6 linked regions of the Bombyx mori genome follow. The main gene of each other region encodes a partner of the protein of the gene in region 2 in a complex. Links are inferred from orthologs where the notes say so. Each region holds a gene or a part of one and is shown on either strand. Other genes may lie near its edges.

Evidence for each region.
Region 1: U4/U6 small nuclear ribonucleoprotein Prp3 (region 2) and peptidyl-prolyl cis-trans isomerase H share a complex: the UniProt entries of both Homo sapiens proteins name them as parts of the U4/U6-U5 tri-snRNP complex. The link is inferred for Bombyx mori from reciprocal best matches to the Homo sapiens genes PRPF3 and PPIH.
Region 3: U4/U6 small nuclear ribonucleoprotein Prp3 (region 2) and thioredoxin-like protein 4A share a complex: the UniProt entries of both Homo sapiens proteins name them as parts of the precatalytic spliceosome. The link is inferred for Bombyx mori from reciprocal best matches to the Homo sapiens genes PRPF3 and TXNL4A.
Region 4: U4/U6 small nuclear ribonucleoprotein Prp3 (region 2) and U6 snRNA-associated Sm-like protein LSm4 share a complex: the UniProt entries of both Homo sapiens proteins name them as parts of the precatalytic spliceosome. The link is inferred for Bombyx mori from reciprocal best matches to the Homo sapiens genes PRPF3 and LSM4.
Region 5: U4/U6 small nuclear ribonucleoprotein Prp3 (region 2) and pre-mRNA-processing factor 6 share a complex: the UniProt entries of both Homo sapiens proteins name them as parts of the U4/U6-U5 tri-snRNP complex. The link is inferred for Bombyx mori from reciprocal best matches to the Homo sapiens genes PRPF3 and PRPF6.
Region 6: U4/U6 small nuclear ribonucleoprotein Prp3 (region 2) and U5 small nuclear ribonucleoprotein 40 kDa protein share a complex: the UniProt entries of both Homo sapiens proteins name them as parts of the U4/U6-U5 tri-snRNP complex. The link is inferred for Bombyx mori from reciprocal best matches to the Homo sapiens genes PRPF3 and SNRNP40.

Annotation. Positions count from the first base shown.
Region 1 is NC_085116.1:6,471,981-6,475,057, reverse strand, and holds peptidyl-prolyl cis-trans isomerase H, read right to left. Parts: upstream 1,585-3,077; 5' UTR 1,245-1,584; coding exon 1,161-1,244; intron 1,072-1,160; coding exon 895-1,071; intron 813-894; coding exon 519-812; 3' UTR 501-518; downstream 1-500. Other genes in the region: coenzyme Q-binding protein COQ10 homolog A, mitochondrial, read left to right, coding at 1-331. UniProt on the Homo sapiens protein: PPIase that catalyzes the cis-trans isomerization of proline imidic peptide bonds in oligopeptides and may therefore assist protein folding. Participates in pre-mRNA splicing.
Region 2 is NC_085130.1:18,563,303-18,566,215, forward strand, and holds part of U4/U6 small nuclear ribonucleoprotein Prp3, read left to right. Parts: coding exon 1-94; intron 95-1,378; coding exon 1,379-1,434; intron 1,435-2,686; coding exon 2,687-2,836; intron 2,837-2,913. UniProt on the Homo sapiens protein: Plays a role in pre-mRNA splicing as component of the U4/U6-U5 tri-snRNP complex that is involved in spliceosome assembly, and as component of the precatalytic spliceosome (spliceosome B complex).
Region 3 is NC_085120.1:13,294,256-13,298,492, forward strand, and holds thioredoxin-like protein 4A, read right to left. Parts: upstream 2,801-4,237; 5' UTR 1,991-2,800; coding exon 1,913-1,990; intron 1,622-1,912; coding exon 1,485-1,621; intron 826-1,484; coding exon 612-825; 3' UTR 402-611; downstream 1-401. UniProt on the Homo sapiens protein: Plays a role in pre-mRNA splicing as component of the U5 snRNP and U4/U6-U5 tri-snRNP complexes that are involved in spliceosome assembly, and as component of the precatalytic spliceosome (spliceosome B complex).
Region 4 is NC_085117.1:3,992,036-3,994,793, reverse strand, and holds U6 snRNA-associated Sm-like protein LSm4, read right to left. Parts: upstream 1,327-2,758; 5' UTR 960-1,326; coding exon 540-959; 3' UTR 501-539; downstream 1-500. Other genes in the region: guanine nucleotide-binding protein-like 1, read left to right, coding at 2,644-2,737. UniProt on the Homo sapiens protein: Plays a role in pre-mRNA splicing as component of the U4/U6-U5 tri-snRNP complex that is involved in spliceosome assembly, and as component of the precatalytic spliceosome (spliceosome B complex).
Region 5 is NC_085109.1:9,935,192-9,939,472, reverse strand, and holds the start of pre-mRNA-processing factor 6, read right to left. Parts: upstream 2,801-4,281; 5' UTR 2,687-2,800; coding exon 2,592-2,686; intron 2,520-2,591; coding exon 2,460-2,519; intron 1,885-2,459; coding exon 1,761-1,884; intron 450-1,760; coding exon 319-449; intron 1-318. Other genes in the region: centrosomal protein of 162 kDa, read left to right, coding at 3,263-3,652. UniProt on the Homo sapiens protein: Involved in pre-mRNA splicing as component of the U4/U6-U5 tri-snRNP complex, one of the building blocks of the spliceosome.
Region 6 is NC_085109.1:1,114,831-1,119,030, reverse strand, and holds the start of U5 small nuclear ribonucleoprotein 40 kDa protein, read right to left. Parts: upstream 2,801-4,200; 5' UTR 2,571-2,800; coding exon 2,454-2,570; intron 2,143-2,453; coding exon 2,016-2,142; intron 1,455-2,015; coding exon 1,251-1,454; intron 930-1,250; coding exon 687-929; exon of another isoform or gene 125-686; coding exon 1-124. UniProt on the Homo sapiens protein: Required for pre-mRNA splicing as component of the activated spliceosome. Component of the U5 small nuclear ribonucleoprotein (snRNP) complex and the U4/U6-U5 tri-snRNP complex, building blocks of the spliceosome.

The sequences.
Region 1 (3,077 bases), on a different chromosome or scaffold from region 2:
TCCTATCAATGAAAGCTACACTTCAAATGTTACGCTAGTCAAACCACATTTGGTAAAAGCAGAGTGTTCTGATGGAAGACTCTTCCACCATATGTTGACCCTTTGGAGATTCAGTCCTGGTCTAAAAAGAGAACAGCAGTCGTGTGTTGTGGACTTCCAGATAACATTCGAATTTAGATCAGCTATACATTCACATTTATCTAATTTGTTTTTTGACCAAGTTGCTCGACAAATGGAAGGTGCTTTCATTAAAGAAGTCGGAAGGCGCAATGGGCCGGCAACAATGCAGCCTAGAAAGTTACTAATAAACAATCACACTTTGAAAACTTGACGCTTACTAATTGCAAACCAAAAAAATTAGTTCAATTCAGTGTACATAATTATTGAGTATTTATTGTGATTACTTTATGTAAAAATTTGTGAATATTATATTTTATCTATTAGTCTGTTAGAAATGTGAGGCAGAGCCATTGTGATTTAATGATAATAAAAAGATAAAATTTAAAGTGAAGTTTTATTTACATTTGTCCACATTGAGATATTGTTACTGGTATTTTAGGTTTATTATTTGGTCCTGTTGGTACATTTTCTATTTTCCTCATGACAAGTAATCCATCTATAACTCTACCAAATACTACATGCTTATTGTCTAAGAAATTACATTTTGCACATGTGATAAAGAACTGACAGCCATTCGTGTCTTTACCACTATTTGCCATGGACAATAACCCTGGAGAGTCATGTTTCAAACCAAAGTTTTCATCTGCAAAAGTGCTTCCACCATATATGCTCATAACGCCTGTACCGTCTCCCTAAAATGAATAGTAAATATTAATAAACTTCCATCATGTTCAGTTAGGCATCGTTTTATCATAAACAAAACTTAATACGTACATTTACGAAATCGCCACCCTGAATCATAAAATCTTTTATTACTCTGTGAAAAGTAGCTCCTTTGTAACCTAAGGGCACACCATCCCGCCTGTATTCACCGGTACAAAATTCTCTGAAGTTCTCACTAGTTTTTGGTACTACGTCGGCGAATAACTCGAATATCATACGACCTATTTCCTAAAATAAACATAAATATTTTATAAACATAAATTTTTGTGTGTTCTTTTAAATCTAATAAAAAACAATAAGTTCGGGGAGGTATTTACCGTTGTTCCTACAGTAATGTCGAAAAACACTACTGGATTGTTAGGATTCCTAAGTTGTGACTGTATTTGGTTCCAAGTAGGCATTTCAATGTGTTAATATTGAAATTTTTACTAAAACAACATTACATTTGTGTTAACAATTTAAAACTTCTATAAGTTTTAGTTTGTTTGATGTTTATTGTTACCCGGCTGTCAAATTTTGAGGTTATACTTTTGACATCCTTTCCTTGACATTAGGTAGCTTACAAGCCTATTTGTCCAGATCTAAAAACGGAATTTCTGGTGACTTCAAAGGACAAAACTTCACGTTTAGCGAATTTGTTACATTTTAAGATTATAGCAGTTTCTTCTATTTCGGCGAATCGTAGATAATAATAAAACTATCCTAACCGTTTAATTTCAATTATTTCTAACGCTTAGAATAACTACATAAAGTATTCGTGATCACAGACGACTATGGTATTATTCGTCAACAATTGTATATTGGGCGGGACTTTTTTTCGGGGAAGGACAAAGTCGTGTAAATTATTGTATTTCGTAAATTGTGCGTTTCTTCAGATTTGAACGCCATACCTATCTTATAAGTTTTAATGGAACCTTATTTATTATCTAACAAATACCTACGGTGATGTCTTTCTTAATTCACTTCCTTAAATTTTATCCCATGAGCAATTAATTTAATTCCATTATTCCCCTTACCTAACATACATTTAAATTTATATATATTATATTTATATTTATTTAAAGGTTACAGTTTTGTGACAAGAGTATTGAAATTTGTATGGTCTATCTCCTTTTGCCCGTCCAATGAACAAATTATAGATAATACAATAAAGAATGAATTTCAAACAATCAATCAAAGACTGGGCCAGGCCATAAATAAAATACAAAAAAATTCTAATCAAAGACTGGGAAGTGGGAACAGCAATTGAATTAAAGAGAGGTAAACTATTTTTTATAAATAAAACTCTTTTACGAGTTTTTATTAAATATGGAAAGTAATGACCTACCTATTGATTATTATCAAATACTAGATTGCGATAGAACAGCAAGCCTTGAAGAATTGAAGAAAAGTTATCAGCGACTCGCTTTGACATTACATCCCGATAAAAATAAAACTGATGATTCTGATAATAAGTTTCGCCTATTACAAAAAGCTTGGTCAGTTTTAAGAGAACCTAGCACCAGGAAACAGTATGATGCTACATTAAGTTGCCATGAAAATAGTGATCTATTGCTTTATGAAACAGTAAGACTGTCTGAAATGGTGTTTGACAGTGATGAAAATGTGTATTTATACGATTGTAGATGTGGTGGGGTGTATGTGCTTAATAAAAGTAATTTTGTGCAATCTAGTGTAATAATTGGATGTGATGAATGTTCATTTTCGATTCAAGTGAATAGATAAAAAAGTATACATATTATTGCAGTTTTATTTATTTATTGTTTTATGTTTGGCTGATATTAAGTTTTCATCGGAACGAATACTTACAAAGTGAATGCCAACAACCACCACAGTGTAACTTAAAACTTTGGGTCGGTTTCATTTCGTTTACTTTTTTATGTTAATTAATCTAGATTTCAAAAAAACTTAGTTACTTTATGTAATCATTTTAATTATGTCTGATTATGAAATATTTGAAATTTAAAGTATAAAGTTTAATTATATAAATATAGTATTATAATAAATAGAGTATAAATATTGCAAAGTTCCAAAATATACATCTATATAGTTATCAGTATAGTTTAAAATACAGACATACAATAATCTCCTTCTGATTCTAATATTTAGTCATTCATTTTTTCCAAGTCCAATTCCTAACCATTTATTATTATTATTATAATTTTCGGGCGGGGGCCGAACCTCCTACGAGGTCCCGTGCCTAGGGGGCGCACGGGGTATGTGGGACTTGACGA
Region 2 (2,913 bases):
GGCCAAGGTCAGGGAGCAGATTGCGAAGAGACAGAAGACGCATCTGGAAGCGAACAAGGCGAGAGCTCTCACCAAGGAACAGAAGAGGGAGAAGGTAGGTTGGGAGGGGAGGGTCAGGTTGCGTTTCCGTTTGAAGGGCGGGGCAGCAACTGTACCCAACTAAGCAATAAAAAACAATAAGAAAAACGGTAAGGCTCTTCGGTAATAGCTTCATGGAAGAGCACAGGAGTAGTTTGGGTGCCAAGCACAGACCTCACACAATATATAATGTTGTCTAAAGGTGGCAACCCTCACACGTTGCCCGCGAGCTCATTTTAGACATCAGAGATAACTTTATATATTGTATTTACTTTATATGTTCACCGTGGTGCGTGAGGAATGTCAACCTTCACGATTGTCTAAATTTAGAATAGATCTTAAGGTAGCGTCAGAACGTTACTTCGACAAAGCGGCGCGACACGAAAACCCTCTTATCGTGGCTGCAGCTAATTACTTATCAGACCGCGACAGGGTAACGTAAAGCCTCCGTCGCCCGAATCGCCGCCGAATCCATATTATTAGGTCGCTGGTTCATCCGGCTCGAAGGACCAAAATATAGGGAGCGGTGTGAGTTTGTTATTGAAAGAATATGTTGCTTAAAAATTTTTATTGTTCAAATATTAAGTAAATCAAAGAAATGTTAACTATAATGTTATGAATGCACCCGGGTGACGCGGCTGTTGATCGTGCACTAACGATTTGTGGAATTAAAGTTAACGTGTCACGCGAATTATGCTGACAAAGGTGTTCGGTAATATATCACCGAACAACATGTCTTGCCGGATCCCCCAGGATTCCCTTTCGGTGCTTTAAGGCTAACTAGGCTTTTAGGCGAACTAACCCATAGACACAGCGACTGAGTTTCGCGCCGGATCTTTTCAGTGGGTCGCGTTTCCGATCCAGTGGTAGATTCAGAGAAGCACTGCTCTTACCAGGGCCAGTGCTAGCAAATTGTCTTAGGTTGAGTCCATGAGCTCACCTACCAGTCACGGCATGGCCCCTTAAGATATTAGCGAATAGGTAGGCAGCGGCTTGGCTCTGCCCCTGGCATTGCTGAAGTCCATGGGCGACGGTAACCACTCACCATCAGGTGGGCCGTGTACTCGTCTGCCTACAATGGCAATAAAAAAAAGGTAGGGAAAACAGATAACACTTCAGAGATATATATATTAATACATTGCTTAAAAGATAATTTCCCGCAATGTCCAAGATATCACTTCACATCACTTGTTCGTGTGATTTAAAAGAGATACAGATCGTTCAGTGCCGTCGGGCAGCGTCTTTATGTCGCTGTCCCCGGGCCCCAGGGTGGTCGGTCTGATCTCGTGGAACTCCTCAGGTTGACCGCAAGCTGCAGGAAGACACGTCGGCCGGCGTCCACGTGGCCGTGTACAGGTGAGTGCTTAGCGCCCCGGTGTTTTTAATTGAACTTTGTTTTTTTTTTTATTGCTTGGATGAGTGGACGAGCTCCCAGCCCACCTGGTGTTAAGTGGTTACCGGAGCCCATGGACATCTATAACGTAAATGCCGCCGCCCACCTTGAGATATAAGCTCTTAGGTCTCAGTATAGTTACAACGGCTGCCCCGGCCTTCAAACCGAAACGCATTACGGCTTCACGGCAGAAATAGGCGGGGCGATGGTATTGAAACTTTAAATGGTTCTGCTGTAAATTTGTAAAAATGTTGCTTAAACCAAAAAATTGTCTTTTTCACCCCTCGATATAAATTTGTAGTTTGTGAATCACGGATAAAGGTTAAAGTTAAAGTATCGCGCGCCCACACGGCAGGTACCGTCATTCTGCGTATTTCTGTCGCAACTCCGTCACGCGTGTTGGAGTCAGAACCTTCAGACACTTGTATGGTACAATTGAGGCTTCTTCCTCAATGTCCCGAGCTGGTTGGTCGCATTTGGAGAGCATTGGTAACGCCTCTCCAGACCATTACCGGCGGTAGGACGTCTTGTGGGTCCGCGCGGGTAGGCACCACCACCCCGCCTATTTCTGCCGTAAAGCCGTAATGCGTTTCGGTTTGAAGGGCGGGGCAGCCGTTGTAACTATACTGAGACCTTAGAACTCATATCTCAAGGTGGGTGGCGGCATTTACGTTGTCTATGGGCTCCAGTAACCACATAACGCCAGGCGGGCCGTGAGGTCGTCCACCCATCGAAGAAATAAAAAAAAACGCATAGAGTCACAGTCAAATCAGAAATAAGGAGATTCGCAGGAAAACCATGGTAACCGACATAGCCCAAAGGATTGCGACGTTGAAGTGGCAGTGGGCAGGACACATTGCTCGTAGAACAGATGGCCGTTGGGGCCAAAAAGTTGTTGAGTGGCGACCGCTTACCGGAAGACGCAGCGTGGTTAGGCCTCCCACAAGATGTACCGACGATCTTTGGAGGTTCGCGGGGATCCGCTGGATGCAGACAGCGCAGGACCGGTCTTTGTGGCGAGGCTTGGGGGAGGCCTATATCCAGCAGTGGGGGAGGCCTATGTCCAGCATTGGGGGAGGCCTATATCCAGCATTGGGGGAGGCCTATGTCCAGCATTGAGGGAGGCTTATGTCCAACAGCGGACGTCTGTGGGCTGATAAGAAGAAGAAGAAGAAGAGTCACAGCGTCGTTGCTGAAGCGGTACCTTGTTGATAGGATCCGTGATCTGTTCGAGTGCGCGTCGGCCAAGTTCAAGGTCGAGGTGAACGCCCAGCAGCTGCACATGAGCGGCTGCGTGCTGCTGCACCGGGGCTGCTGCGTGGTCGTGGCCGAGGGGGGCCCCCGCCAGCACGCCAAGTACAAGCGGCAAGTACCACTCGGGGGGGTCACTAGCCCACTGAGTTTCTCGCCGGATCTTCTCATTGGGTCGCGTTTCCGATCCG
Region 3 (4,237 bases), on a different chromosome or scaffold from region 2:
GAGGATCCGAAATGACGTGTTTAGGGCTTCTCGTCCCTCTTGGCCTTGGCACGACCGTTTATCGGTCTTTTACTGGTATTTTACTGGTGGTAGGACCTCTTGTGAGTCCGCACGGGTAGGTACTACCGCCCCGCCTATTTCTGCCGTGAAGCAGTAATGCGTTTCGGTTTGAAGGGTGGGGCAGGCGTTGTGACTATACTGAGACCTTAGAACTATATCTCAAGGTGTGTGGCGCATTTACGTCGTAGATGTCTATGACCTCCAGTAACCACTTAACACCAGGTGGGCTGTGAGCTCGTCCACACATCTAAGCAATAAAAAATAAAAATAAAGTATTTTTGATAATGGTTTTTTTTTTTTTCAATGATGAAGATATTGCAACACAAAAAAAAGGATCTACATCAGCATAAAACTTGTCATTTATTCTACTTTTACTTTGTTTAATATCAGGAAGAACAGCATAATTCCAAAAACACATGAGTTATAATGTAATATGTATAGTTCTTATTTTTATATAAAAAAAGTTACATTACTAAATTTATGATGACTATGATGTCAGATATGATTACAAATTACTAGACCATTCAGGTGGAACATTATTTTAAATTAAACTAATATCTGTATTTGGTAGAGTAATCTTTCGGTGAGACAACAAGACCTCGTCCTTTTCTTGCCCCTCTGTACACAGTTTCAATAATATCAATCATCTCCTGCTTGTCTTCGAGAGGCCAGTTGATTTTATTGTTGTTGCCAGTCCCCAAGTCAATCATTATGTGTTTGTTGCGGAAGAAGAACATCACTGTGCATGGATCGTATAATTCATACCTAGAAATAAGTTTAAATAATATTATTATAGGCCTTGCTTAGTCATTTTATATACTAGACCCTTTCTACTAGACTAGAACTTTCAACCTTTTTTACTTAATGATGTATTAACATACTCTATATATACATGACACCCTTAAATGCAAAGATTTATAGTTGGGAGTGATGGTTGTTGGTATTTACATCACTCATATGTAATACTGTTGTATGGTTAATATTTAATAAACAATTGTATATTTAACCAACATGTATCCCTGAGATGCAATTTCCCAGATCACCTTAAATAAAAATTGAAATATCGTATTTCTAATTTTCACAACACACTTGACTTGCAACATTCCAGTGATCAAGAACTGCTGTTCTACTCTAGTCTTAAAATCAACAATTTGAAAAAAATTATTAACAATGTAGATAATGAAATTCATTTACTGTATGAACCAGACTTATTAAGAATTCCTAGAAAACTCATAGTTCTTTGCTTCTTCACTTATGATACTTTTTTAATAATTAATAAAACAACAAATTTAATAATACAACATAATTTCCTTAAAACACTGGAGGTAGGAGGACTTGTGTATTCCACAAAGGTTTTAAGAAAACCTATCAAAATCTTAATTTCAGAAATAAATTTAGAACAAGTAGTTTTACGGTATACTTACATTTTATTAAAATCTGGAACTTCTGTAATGTCAACTAAATATATGACAGCAAAATTTTTTACTTTTTCCGCAATGCTGTATAATACTTCATCCATTTTCATACATGTTGGGTCCCAGTCGTGTCCAAACCTTATAACCTAGATATGTAAATTAGAATTAATTACATTTAATATAGTTGAATCATAGGGCAAGACAATTAGGCCACTAATTAAATAACTATTAACTGTTTTGGCTCAAAGCATTTTGTTAGTTCCTTTAATTCAAAATCTATTGTTTTTTATACTAGAAGGTTGAAGGTCTTGGTTTCTACTGCATTTATATACTTTAACAAATACCTATTGATGTAAGGTTAGAATATAATTATTATTTTTAGTCTTCAGATACTAAATCTCAGATTTCTACATTCTATGAATCTAGTTAAAACTCACCACTACACGGTCTTCTTCTGATAGAATGGCCTGATCTACTTGCCAACCATTGTGTAGATGTCCTAGCATATAACTCATTTTGCAAATAAACTACTTTACGTATTATTTCAAACAAACGATTATTCCTGTATTCTTTTTTCTGGAAATTGCTATTGCTATGAGCAAAATATAATCGTGTTGTAGGACCACTGAACAAATATTGATATTATTTTGCTCACTGAAATTTGCCTTTCACATCTAAGACATTCCAAAGTTATTTTATTCTCACATTTTGTTTCTCGTCACTGTTCACGTTTTCTATAGAAGTGTGTTCAAAAAGTTTAGAGCAGGCGTTGTCTTTTTTGTTACTTCATAACAAAAAGAATGTTCTGTGAAATAGAGAACTTTAAATTTATAATTATTTAATAATATGTAGGTATTAAGATATGACTATTCTATGAGTAAATTTACAAACACTGACTTTTACCAGGTCATAAAATACCTTAAAAAAAATCACAGACCACAGTATGACGTATGACAGTAGCAGTTCCATTTTCCAACAAGAAAGGCGGAGGTATCAGTCCATACAGCGTAATCTTTCATGGAATTATTCTGTTATTTATATCAATTTAATATGAAGTTAATAATGATATGGATGAAATGAGGTGAAGTTTATTTATTTGAGGCTTTAATGTTAATCATATATTTTATCGTTACAACTCTTATAGGTACAACAAGGTATTTAAATTAAATTATATAGGTATAGGATATAGGTTATAGGATTTAAATTAAATAAAATTAATAATTTTGTGCAGCGACCGGCGCGGCGCGTGCGCGTTATTCAATTTTTCTTTATCGACCCTCCGTATTTTTACGAATCCTGCGAGGCGTCGCGGCGTCGGTCGCACGGCGTTGTTCGACACTTTAGGGTTCCGCTTAGCGTGCGGGTGTTGTAACGTAATGTTACAACTGAAATCGTCTGCAAAATAAAAAAAGAAAATAAAAAAAACCTTAAAACAAAAGTATTTATGTTCAAAGCAGTTATTTTATCGATTGTACCGCTGAGGTGACAACAATAGTTCCCACCTCCCCCCGAGACGTAGGTTCGGCTGGCGCAGACACTGCGCAGCCGCTGCGCCGGCAGTCGTCACTAGAATCGACATCAACCCCACGAAAAGCACAGCGGTGCTCTTCAAAAGGGGTCGCCCTCCGAACACCACGCTGAGCATCCCCCTCCCGACTAGGCGCGTCAACACCTCCGCCCCCGCCATTCGCCCAATCACGATGTTCGACCAGCCCATACCGTGGGCCCCGAAGGTCAAATATTTAGGCGTCACCCTCGACAGTAGGATGACATTCCGCCCTCACATCAAGACGGTACGCGACCGTGCCGCCTTCATTCTAGGACGTCTCTACCCGATGATATGTAGGCGAAGTAAAATGTCCCTTAGAAATAAGGTGACACTCTACAAAATTTGCATACGCCCCGTCATGACCTATGCAAGTGTAGTGTTCGCTCACGCGGCCCGCACTCACTTAAAATCGTTCCACATTATTCAATCCCGTTTTTGCAGGATAGCCGTCGGAGCCCCGTGGTTCGTCAGGAACGTCGACCTCCATGACGACCTGGACTTAGAGTCCATCAGTAAGTATCTACAGTCGGCGTCGATGCGCCACTTCGATAAAGCGGCACGACACGAGAACCCTCTCATCGTGGCCGCCGGTAACTACATTCCCGATCCTGCGGACAGAATGGAAAGCAGTCGACGTCGCCCAAAACACGTCATCTCGGATCCTCCCGATCCACTAACGGTGCTTCTAGGTACTTCAAGTACCGGTCACCGTTCTCGTCGAACCCGTCGCTTGCGACGAAGGGCTCGACGAGTAAATTAACTCTCAGACACAGCCCACTGAGTTTCTCGCCGGATCTTCTCAGTGGGTCGCGTTTCCGATCCGGTGGTAGATTCTGCGAAGCACGGGTCTTGCTAGGGTTCGTGTTAGCAACGTCATCAGGTTTGAGCCCCGCGAGCTCAACTACAAAAGTTAGGGTTACGCTGAAATAGCCTCTCAAGGCTCTCAGCGTAGGTAGAAAAAAAAAGTGTGTGTGTCCGCTCCGACGCACGACTGGAGTTTACTGGATATAAATATAAATTTGTGTCAGTTGAATACAGTAAAATATGGAAGTTACGTATTCTAGTGAGAATGATCCGGGAGTTGCGGAACACGTGGATGCGGTAATTAAGTAAGTCTATATAATTCACTTTTACAATTAATATATAAGTTGTCCATTCACTGATAGAAGGAATTGTTTATATTTAATAAGCTTTATTAATAAATGATTTGTAG
Region 4 (2,758 bases), on a different chromosome or scaffold from region 2:
CTCTATCTGTATCAAGTTTCAAGGATCATCATTAAAATATTGCTTTTACACTGTTTTTTTTTACTCTGTTTTTTACCATTTCATTAATGGGTATTGCCATATTATACAATAGTATTATTACTTTAAGCGTTTTTTGTAAATAAATGATTTCAGTATACTTTGATTTTTTTTATATATTGACACGAATTGAATAGTGTGAAAACCAATTAAAGATATAAAACAAAAAAATGTATTTTCTTAAAATATCAAGAAATAATAAAGTTGTATCCCATTTTAGATTTAACAGAGATATGGGTAGCTTAAATATTTTATATTAATGGATTGATGAATTCATAACTACCTGTGCATCTGCAGTTTCCAAATTATTTAGATATTATTGATTTTCAATGAATTCTACATCAGGATTATGACTAATAAATAATCTTGGATTTGGTCAAATATATGGTTGCTTTGCACCAGCATGTATGGAGGAATTTTGAACTTTAAATGAAACAAAACTATTCCTTAGCCAAATAACTTAATTTATTAAAAAACTTATCTTACATTTTATTTTTATTTTTGTTCTGTGGTCGCGGGTTCCCGCCGCCACGGGCTAGTGGAGGTGCTCTGCCGCGGTTACCGAATGCGCCTCGGCTACCACCACGGCCACCGGTCCTCATGTTTTGCCCGCGTCCCTTGGAAACCTCGTTACGACCGCGCGCTTTAACCTGTGTCTCCTCCTTCACCATGTCGATGACCTCGTCCGGTATTCTCAAGTATTTGATCGTACTACCACGTATATAACATTCCGGCATCCTCCAGAACTTGTCGCCGTCTCTCGACGTGCAAATAACTTCACGTAAATTAATGTTCATCCAATTATCGCAGCTTACGAGATGACCATTGTAAGTTTCGCCATTTTTCAATTCGACAAGCATAGGGTGGTTCTGCGCTGTCCGTAACAAAGATAGCGGCAACATTTTGATGTAATGATCAACTTCGTTTTGAAGTTTATTATTTATTTGTATTAGAAGTTTATTTTCCTACTTTCGCGTTGTTTGGTGTATTGTCAACTTCTTGTTTTTTTAGGTTACTTTAGGACTTTAGGTTGACACTGACAGTGCTCAGTTGTCAGAAGACGCACAGATAATACACTTAATATTTGAGAAGAAGTGAAAATTGCTTCAATGGTAATGTAATGAAGTTTGTGAACAAGAATTTACAAGTAGACGAGTCCAACTGGAGAGTTAAGGGACAGTTCTAGTAGTAGTGAATCTTGTGATGATGATGAATAATAATAAAACAATTTACGTTGCACACCATTGTATTAGTAATAAATAATTAGAAATCTCATTCCTGGTTTCAATTTATTCTAAAGGTGAACCCGTCTACAAAAATTGCATTCAATAGGATAAATGATGAAAAAAAAGAACGTATCGAAACTGGTGTTGAAGGGTTTTGTTGCTGAACTTAATAGTTAAATGTAATGTAACTTTTTTTGTTTTAATTTGACCATACAGCTTACTGTCCATGCAACTATCAATTTCTAGTTCCATGAGAATAAATCTATGTTCGATAATCCAAAGTCAATGACTTTAGCATCCTTACTGTGAGCTGTCAAAATTATCATAAATTTTTACTTTTTGGCGGGAACGCGGGGAGTGAAGTTGTGTGATTTGTTTTATTTTGTCTATTTATTGTTTCTTCAGGTTTAACTGTATAATATCTGTGAAAGTGCACAAGTGTGGGAAATTGAAACAAATCCGCTAGACGTAGCTTGTTGGGATCGTCCAAAGAGCCAATTGAAAAGTCTTAGTAAATGTCCACCATTTTACTGAGATTATATTTCATCCTACATCATCTCATCTCATTTCATTTAATTTCATCTCACTTCATTTCATCTTCATTTCATTTCACTCTATATTATCATTTTTCGTAAAAATAAGAATTAAATAAATTAAAATAAGATTTGACCTAAAAGTTTTAGTTACTAGGTCATAAAATCCCTTAGAAAATATCCTAAATTTGAAAAAAAAAACAGAGTTCAATGCCTTTAATTTGTCGGTCAGCTGTCAATTGTCAATCCTGTGAAAAAAAATGTTTTCAATTGTTAGCCGGTCGGTAGAATAATTTTCATATTCACACGAAAATCAATTAAATAGGTAAAAAGATAATAAGTTCAAGCCCTTCAGTGAGAAATTAGGAATAGATTTCTTGTTTTGAGTCTAACGTAAGTTTGAAACTATTTCTGTACAATTATAATATTCCAAGGAGACCTCGTGTTCCAAATTTTAGTTTTTCTCTTTATTAATTAGTTAAGTTTATTAATTCTTGATTTAATTACGGTTAAAAATCGGTTACGGTTTTTGAAAATCAGATTCTTAATCGCTTATTACGATCAATTAGTTTAGTATATTTGATAAATAATACATTACCCAGTACCTACATTTTTTGAGTTTACACTTACACCTGTAAGCGTTACTTTTGTATCTTCAAATCTGGTCATCAGAGCGAGAAAAAGTATAATGGTAAAATACTATGACGTGATATTCAATAAAATAATTAAAATACCCAGAAAAATATTAAAACTGTACTTGCAGTTCAACAGTTGTAAAGATGTTTACTTCATAATAACATTGTCCATAATTAACAGAGTTACTCGTCATGCCCCAAGCACGTCGGAAGACCCCGTTCAGCGGGAAGGCCAAAAAACAACAACTGCAGTCTAAGAAGCAGAACAAGGTTTTACTCATGCCTAGTACGTATTATCACATATTCG
Region 5 (4,281 bases), on a different chromosome or scaffold from region 2:
AATTTGATCTATATCGTTTTTACTATAACCACGTTTTGGCTTGAGATACGCTTTGTGGGACAGGGGATATATATACATGTATTCCCTATTTCCCATGAAATTTTCACTAAATATTCATTGGCCTAGTGAATTATCCTGTAAAATTTAGTAGCAATAATATCAAAGTCAAATCATAGATCAGCCAGCAAAACGGTCCAAGTTTGACTGGTGGTTTAATAAAAATATTGGTATTTTACATGAACACCTTCTGCAGTTGATTTGAAATTCCGCTTTAACTAAGCTAAAATTACGGTTAATAATCTTCAAAAGTAAAATAACCTCTCCTGTCGATATCTTTCCAAGTCTTCTTTAAGTCTTTTTTCTCTATACTCCTTCCTCTTCTCATCCATCCTCTTGTCAATGGACTCATAGATTGCATCTGCCTCTGCATCGTCTTTGTCATAAGGATCCTAATAATAAAGTTTACATTGTTTAATATTATGATCTACACTTAAGTAAACAATACAAGGTGTATTGGAATAATCTCAGAAAGTGAAGAATTAGCAAATATTGTAGGATTTGTTTGTTTAATCCTTTTGCTGAACATCCATGGATAAAAAATCATTAAATTTATGGTGGTTTTGTCTTGGATGGTGTTACAGCAACTGAAAACCCAGACTGTGATTCAATTTCCAACAGTAGCCTGCTAACATGTGTGGACTTTACCTTAATATTGTTTTTCTATAGTAGAATTTTTTGGTGGAATCTGTTAACATGTTCATTGCTAATAGAGCACAAAATTTTCATGAAAGAACTACATTTGTGAATGTACAAAATATATTTTCAGTGACATCTTATAGCCTAACGCCTAATAAGTAAATAATAGCACCGCAACAACATTCTTATAGTCACTCGATCAGTTACTATATAAAACATTCTAAAGCTGATTTCTCTAAATCTCAAGGTTTTCTTTAAATATTTCATCTTTCTTCAATTGCCTGATTTCAGGGCCGTATCAAATCAATTAAATTTCCTTGAGATAGTGGATATGGCTCATTAGATTAGGAATCTTCTCGAAAGTTTTCATTGCTTTTAGCATAGCAGACAGATCATAGCTTTGGGGTGGTCATGGTACAGTTCTACACCATGAGGGATCCATCTTTTAGCATATTGCTTAATTTTAGAATACTTTTAGGATACATAGTTCGACTTTTTGGTTTTAATTAATATTTTCTGCACAAGTAAGACAAAAATAACAATAAAATAAGTGGTTCATTGGTTCCGTCCAAATCATTGGAATTTCAAAAGTCATAGATTGAGATCTTCTCATACATATAACACAATAGATGTGTCTTATTGTCCTTGCTTTGTCTTATTGTCAGATGGAAAAGCCACAATACTGTTGATGTAGTTTAGTTACTAATGGTGTCAAATTTCTATACAAAGTTTTAAAAGTTATGTAACAAAAGTTACAAATGTAAGAAAACTGGTCAGGATATTTTTTACACTTTCTTTACATTATTTAAGAATTAATTAACTCAGAAAAGTAAATACTATACTCTTAGCATATTTTTTTTTACTGTTATATTGTAATCTTAATACAACAAGTTTGTACTATGGTTCTGCCTTACAAAACAACAAGTTCAAGTTAAGATTGCATAGCATGATGCAAAACATACACAGCATGTCTCAGGGAGGTCATACTGGTATCTAAAGTTTTGTCAAATCCTTATGTCGAGGCTCACATCAGTTCAACTGTCTAAACTAGTTAAATAAAATACCTTAGAAAACAGAGATCCACTATATCCTGAGAACTCATCATAGTTAGAATCATTTAAGTCTTCATCATCATCTTCGTCTTCTGTTTTCTTACGTTTTGCAGCTGGTGGTGCATGACGATCATCACTAAAATAGGAAAATAAATATAAAAAGGCAATATATTTTTCATTTATAACAAATTAAATTTATTCTTACAACTTTGAAGCAATATCATGTCAAAATTAAGTTTGAAGTCACAGCAGCTTAAAAGATAAAACGCCCTGTGTGTTTGTATCAAAAGCTGCGACTATGCCGGTAATTGAATCCCACAGATGCCTGTGCCATTAATTTTTCTAATGAGCGTATTTAACTCATATTCATGAATGACTTCCACAACATGTAACAAAAATAAAACTAGCAAAAATTATAATTTTTATAAATACTGGTAGTAGGGAATCTTTAAAGCCACCACTGTGCTGTCTAAGCAATAAAAAACAAAAACACAGGAAGGTCGAATGTTCTTCAATTTACCTTTTTTGTCAATAGAAAGGATACATACGTTTTTTTTTTCTCCTAAACTTTGTCTTTAATACCGAGTAAATATCATAAGATCTTCATTCATAAGATTGAGAGAAGATTCATAAGTTCTTCTATCAGGCTTCATCTTTTGATGTTGATAAGTTCTATTAAATATTATTAAATATATTTTTTTAAATACTTACGACACATCGTTAGCGTCTCTTGCAGGACCAATATCAGATCGAGTCGTGAAACCAGTAGCTCTGAAATAATTATTAATACAATTATATTTGAGCTTGAATACACTTGTTTATTTTATATTTGAAGATACGCACCCTCTTCCTACACCAGCGACATAACCTAGCGGTGCGGGAATGCCTAAGAAATGCTTTTTGTTTTTGTTTACAAATGCTTGTGGTGGTACAGACATTTTTAAGGAAAATATGAAGTTAAGGTTTTTTTAGAAAACACTATTTTTGCAAAAATAGCCTTTTCTTAAATTTTACGAAAAGCTAACTTATGACATATTGTTAAGACTGTCATTGTCAAAAATTTTCAAAAACTGGAAAGGCAAAAGTAACATAGCATACACGCTTATCGTTTTTTGTGGGTGTGTGAGTGAAAGTGAAATGAAATTAAGTTGATTGATTGGGAACATTATTGGAATTTGGCATAAGTTTTAAAACATGCGCCTGTTTGACGACTTACTCTATTTAGATTATGTGCGGCCAATATTTTCTGTACTAGCTGGTATAACAAGCCTAACATGGCTTAGTTGTAATATCATAGTTTAAAAACTCAGAGCCAGGGCCAATCAGGCAATTATAGTAAAAATTAGAGTCCGTCCGTTGCTAAGCAACTGAAATTGGTTTGATAGTTTGATTGAAAATAGGACTTCAGGGAAGGTTAGCTTATTTTCTGTTGCCAGTGAGTTTTATTTACCAGTGAGTAATACAGTACGCTGATAAGATTGAGAAAATTGTAAATTAAGAGATATCAATTTACAATGGCGAAGAGTTTAATGGCACAAAATCAAGACCTACCATCGAACGATAATAGTTTGTCTACAAGAGAATTTTTACATATCGAAAAGACTTGTGAAGCTTTTAAAGATAGTGACGAAGAAATTAAAATGATACTTAGTGAAATTAATAAGCTATCTGGTGGGAAAACTGAAGAAAAACTATTAGAAGGTGACGTGGACGACGTAGAGTTAATTTTAAAAAGAGCGGAAGATATAGCCTTGGAGACGGAAAATCTTCTGAAAAATAGCCCAGTTGCCGCTAAAATTCATAAACTAACACCGGAGAAAAGTGAACCGTCAGCAATACCAGAAATACTGGTAACCAAACCAACTGAAAATAGTCAAGAAATAGGAAAACCATCACAAAATAAGGTAAATGTAGTTAGTAACCTAAACTTTGAAAATAAGTTAGGGTTACTAGGTTAAAATAGCATTGTTCTGTAATGTCTGTGCATTAATTCCAAGAAAAGCAAATAAGCTAATTTGAACTAACAGTAATGCTAGTTCATGGCATACAGCCGTTCGATGCTAAATAAGATAATATCCCTTTTATCTATATATATAAAAATGAATTGCTGTTCGTTAGTCTTGTTAAAATTCGAGAACGGCTGGACCGATTTGGCTAATTTTGGTCTTGAATTATTTGTGGAAGTCCAGAGATGGTTTAAAAGGTAGATAAATATAAAAATGCTCGGAATTAAATAAAAATTACAATATTAATTAAAAAAAACAAATTTTACTTTGATGTGTCCCCCGTCGCGTCGGACGGATTCCTTTTGTTTGTTTTAAGTTTATTTTATACAAAAAAATAGGTCTTTTATTTATCGATTGAGGCACTACAAAGTCTGCCGGGTCAGCTAGTTAAAAATAAAATAATTTCCATTTTTGTGTTCAGGTTTATTACCATAGCGACAATTAAAGACAATTAAAAAAAACAAATACATTTGTGAAAGTAGAATTTATTAAGATATAATATAAATATGCACATAATTAATTAATTA
Region 6 (4,200 bases), on a different chromosome or scaffold from region 2:
TGGTGGCCAGACATTAATTTGACACAGCGTTCTGTTGGTGCAAACGGTCTAACGTCCCAAATACGGAGTGTATTATCCATTGAATTGGACAGGAGATATGCACCATCCCATGACAATGATAATCCTGGAAACGAGTATTGCAACACAAGTTAGACATTGCCAGTCATTAAATGTATCAAACTCATATGATTTCTATTCACATATTTATTGCCGCACCTGGGTAGATGACTTCACGATCTACAAGTAAACTAAACAAGTAGTCTTAGTCATGAATTATTACTACTTATAAGGCTAGAGACATTCTAATAATAGCTGTTACATTTCTCTAAAATTACCTAATACCAGTTTGGGCTACCGAAGGCAGAATGGGTGAAGAAGTTTACAATACACCCGTCAACAAGTAACAACAGGGATTATAAAGAGAAATACATATGTATGCAACTACTACTACTGTACTGCATACCAATCAATCCATTCTCATTTCCTCATAAGATCAATATTTGTTAAATACATTGTATGGTAATCAGTATTTTAGTAGTTAACTAATAGACTGAAGTCATTACTGTCATCATATTGCCCTCACTCCACTCTAGATAAACTGTATCAATATTTTAATTTAATTTCTGGTTGCAGTATTATCACCTAATAAAAATCTAATTAATCAGAATCAATAAAGAATTACCAACCTGTAACCGTGTCTGTATGTCCTTTTATTTTCAAGGAAATCTGATTATTCCTTATATCCCACATTTTGATGACATTGTCCACACCGCTGGATAAAATTTTTTCAGCTGTATCATTGAAGAGTACACTTGTGACTGGATATGAACTGTCAAACGATGCAACTGGATTCCTTTTCCTTGCATCCCATAATTTTATGGTGTTATCATCTGAAGCTGAAACTAAGAGTTCTGGACCTCTTCTTGCTCCTGGATATAGAGATAACACGAGAAAGTTAGAATAGATTGTTACGTTGTCTAAACCAATTTTTTAATGGATGCCATGAATGAATTTACAGTTCTATTGTATCCACAGGCATTGAGATTTTAGATTGATGTTATCTGGTTTCAAACCATGGTTACGGATTATAGTTTCAATTTTAGGTCAATCCCACTTTATTTGGATCCAATCACTTTAAGGCTCTGAGAGTGCAAAGTAATGTTTAATTAAGTTACTGTTGTGTATTTGTACTACTAAAAAGCACTAGCATGAAAACCATTGTGTGTCAAAACTCAAACTATGAAACATACCTGAAACAGAGTTCACAAAGTTAGCGTGACCCTTTAACTTCTTGATTCTAGTCCCGGTGGGTACGTCCCATACTGCTACAGTATTGTCCGTAGCTCCAGTGTACAAATGTGAACCATCAGGTGAGAAGCAAAGCTGCATTATTGCTCCCGTGTGACCTTTCATCACCATCACATTCTCGCATTGACCATACACATTCCATATTACTGTGAAAATAAGAAATCAAAAATCATAATATTACTAAGTTGGACTTGTACAGCTTATAAGTTGTCAACATGACCCTGACATTGGTGGAAATTTTCAATGGTATAAACATTTATTTTGTATTTTTTTATATTAATGGTGGCTTAAGCTAAACAGTTTATATCAGCTATCATTTTGAGTATTGTATCATATTGTTCCCTACATTATAGGGCTCGTGTCACTAAAACCCCAGTACAGTGTGGCCCATGCCTGGGATATTGGTACTGGCAGTCATTCTTAATAATGCATATTAAATCAAACTGAAATGGATTTGGACTTCAGAGAAAATTTAAGACGCTGTAATATAATGTCTATGGTCTCCAATAATCACTTATACACTAGGTCAGATTTTACCTTGTTCACTCTTTTCAATTAAATTTAAAACCTACCTACTGTAATCTTATAATTTGTGTTATCAAATGTGTCAATTCTTCATTAACGTTTTGATAGTAGTATATTATTAGAGTGTGAATTTTAGAAACACTTTGCCAATTCAAAAGCTTTGTCATGATTTTGTTACTTACATATTTGTCTGTCAAAGCCTGCAGAAGCCAAATGTTTGCCTTCAGGATGAAATTTGCCTGTGAAAATTTCTCCTTGGTGTCCTTCCAACAACATAATTGGCGCATACAAGTTTGATGTTCGTGGAACCTAGAACGACAAGAATATAAAATACAAAACACAGGAATCTTGGAATCTTGTTGATCACTACAAATGTTGAAAAATAAATCTTAAAGTAAAAGCCGACTAAAATTCGTATTACCTTAAATTTTAACAAATATCAATCATGATTACCTAAGTACAGATTGTGTTTTTCTAAAAGTTTATTTTAGATGTTATGTTCCATTTCTAATAATTATAATTATGATCTCTTGATGCTTTCACCGTGGCGTTAGAGTTCTTAGCTTTTATAGACCGTACTATTGAGAAAATAAGTAAACTTTATTGAAAACAATACTCACAGATGAAGTAACAACTGCCTTTTCTCTGGTGCCGACTACTGAGATCTCATGCCGTACTCGCTTGGAGGGTACAAGAGACACATCCTCTGCTTTTCTTTTAGTTTCTATATCTGGCATTTTTTAAGATGTTTATTTACCTATTTGTTTTTATAGCTACAAACAGAAATACTAACCTTAAAAATGGTATAAGGACTGTTTAGCTTGTTTCATTTGTCAATTGTATAGGCAAAAGGAAAATAGCCAATATCGCCAAATTCTTTGTAACAAAAGACAAAGCTACCTTCTAAAAAGTTTTTTTTTTGTATACCTATTCAGATGAGAAGATGAGATAATGAGTCATTCAAAATGAAGAACTTAAAGTGTTTACTAGAGCCCATAGTCATCTACAATGTAAATGCCGCCATGCACCTTGAGATTTGAATTCTAATGTCCCAGTTTTTAAAGTACAATGGTTTTTTTTCGGGCCCGGGGCCGATCCTTCTAAGAGGTCCCCGCGCCTAAGAGGGCGTGAGATATGTGGAACTTTACGATCTGCAGGTTTTGGGAGCAGACCGCGGGCCCAAGGAGTTTTAGGGCCCTACCGCACTAAACGACTCCCTTGCACATTTACACCCAACGTCCGATCTCCGTCCGGGCTCAGAATCCGGACAATGTAGGGGGGGTTCCCGCGGTCAACACTATAACCAGACACGCGGCGCCCCTCCGAGGACCCCTGACCGACGGGTCGTCGAGACGGTAGTCGATGACCAATGACGCTGGTCTCCGCGGTACGGTGGCCCTACCTGGCCGCCCGGGCGATGCCGCTGGTGTTCTGGGATACTCTGCTTGGCCAAAACCAGCCTGATGGGTCAGAACGCGATACACCTCCGACCGCGTTGCTCTTCCACAGTATGTTCGGCGACGATAGTGACGACGACAATGCGGACCGCATTGCAGGCCGTAGTCGCTGACGTGTTGTCCCGTCCTCCTTGTGCCAGCGCGCTAGAGTGATGGTAGGTAGCGTGCGGCGCAGCCTCAACCCCCTCAGGTGAGGGAGTTGGCCCGGGGGAGGCCCCGTGACCATCACCGGGAGGAGACTGCCTCCTCAAAAATTCAATGGTTGTCCCAGCCTTCGAAATGAAACGTATTACTGCTTTATGGCAGAAATAGGCAGGGTGGTGCTACCTATCCGTGCAAACTCACAAGACGTCCTACCATCAGTAATTATGCAAATTATAATTTTGCGGGCTTTGTTCTTACTACACGATGTTATTCCTTTACCGTGGAAGTCAGTTTAGTTGATATGTACGTATTTCATTAGAAAAATTGGCACTTGCCTGCGCAATTCGAACATCGTTACATCGCTACATACGAATGCACCAAACGTCATATCCTTTAGGTCACGACGGCTATAAATCATTTGTTTAAGTTACAATTTTTTCACGTGTAGCCCCGATCGCTTTGTTTGTGTAATGAACTTTTAAAAGAGACGAGAACGCATTTTTTTTTTTTTATTGCTTAGATTGGTGGACGAGCTCACAGCCCACCTGATGTTAAGTGGTTACCGGAGCCCATAGACATCCACAACGTAAATGCGCCACCCACCTTGAGATACAAGTTCTAAGGTCTCAAGTATAGTAACGACGGCTGCCCCACCCTTCAAACCGAAACGCATTACTGCTTCACGACAGAAATAGGCAGGGCGGTGGTACCCACCCGCGCGGACTCACAAGAGGTCCTACCACCAGTAATTACAATTATAATTTTG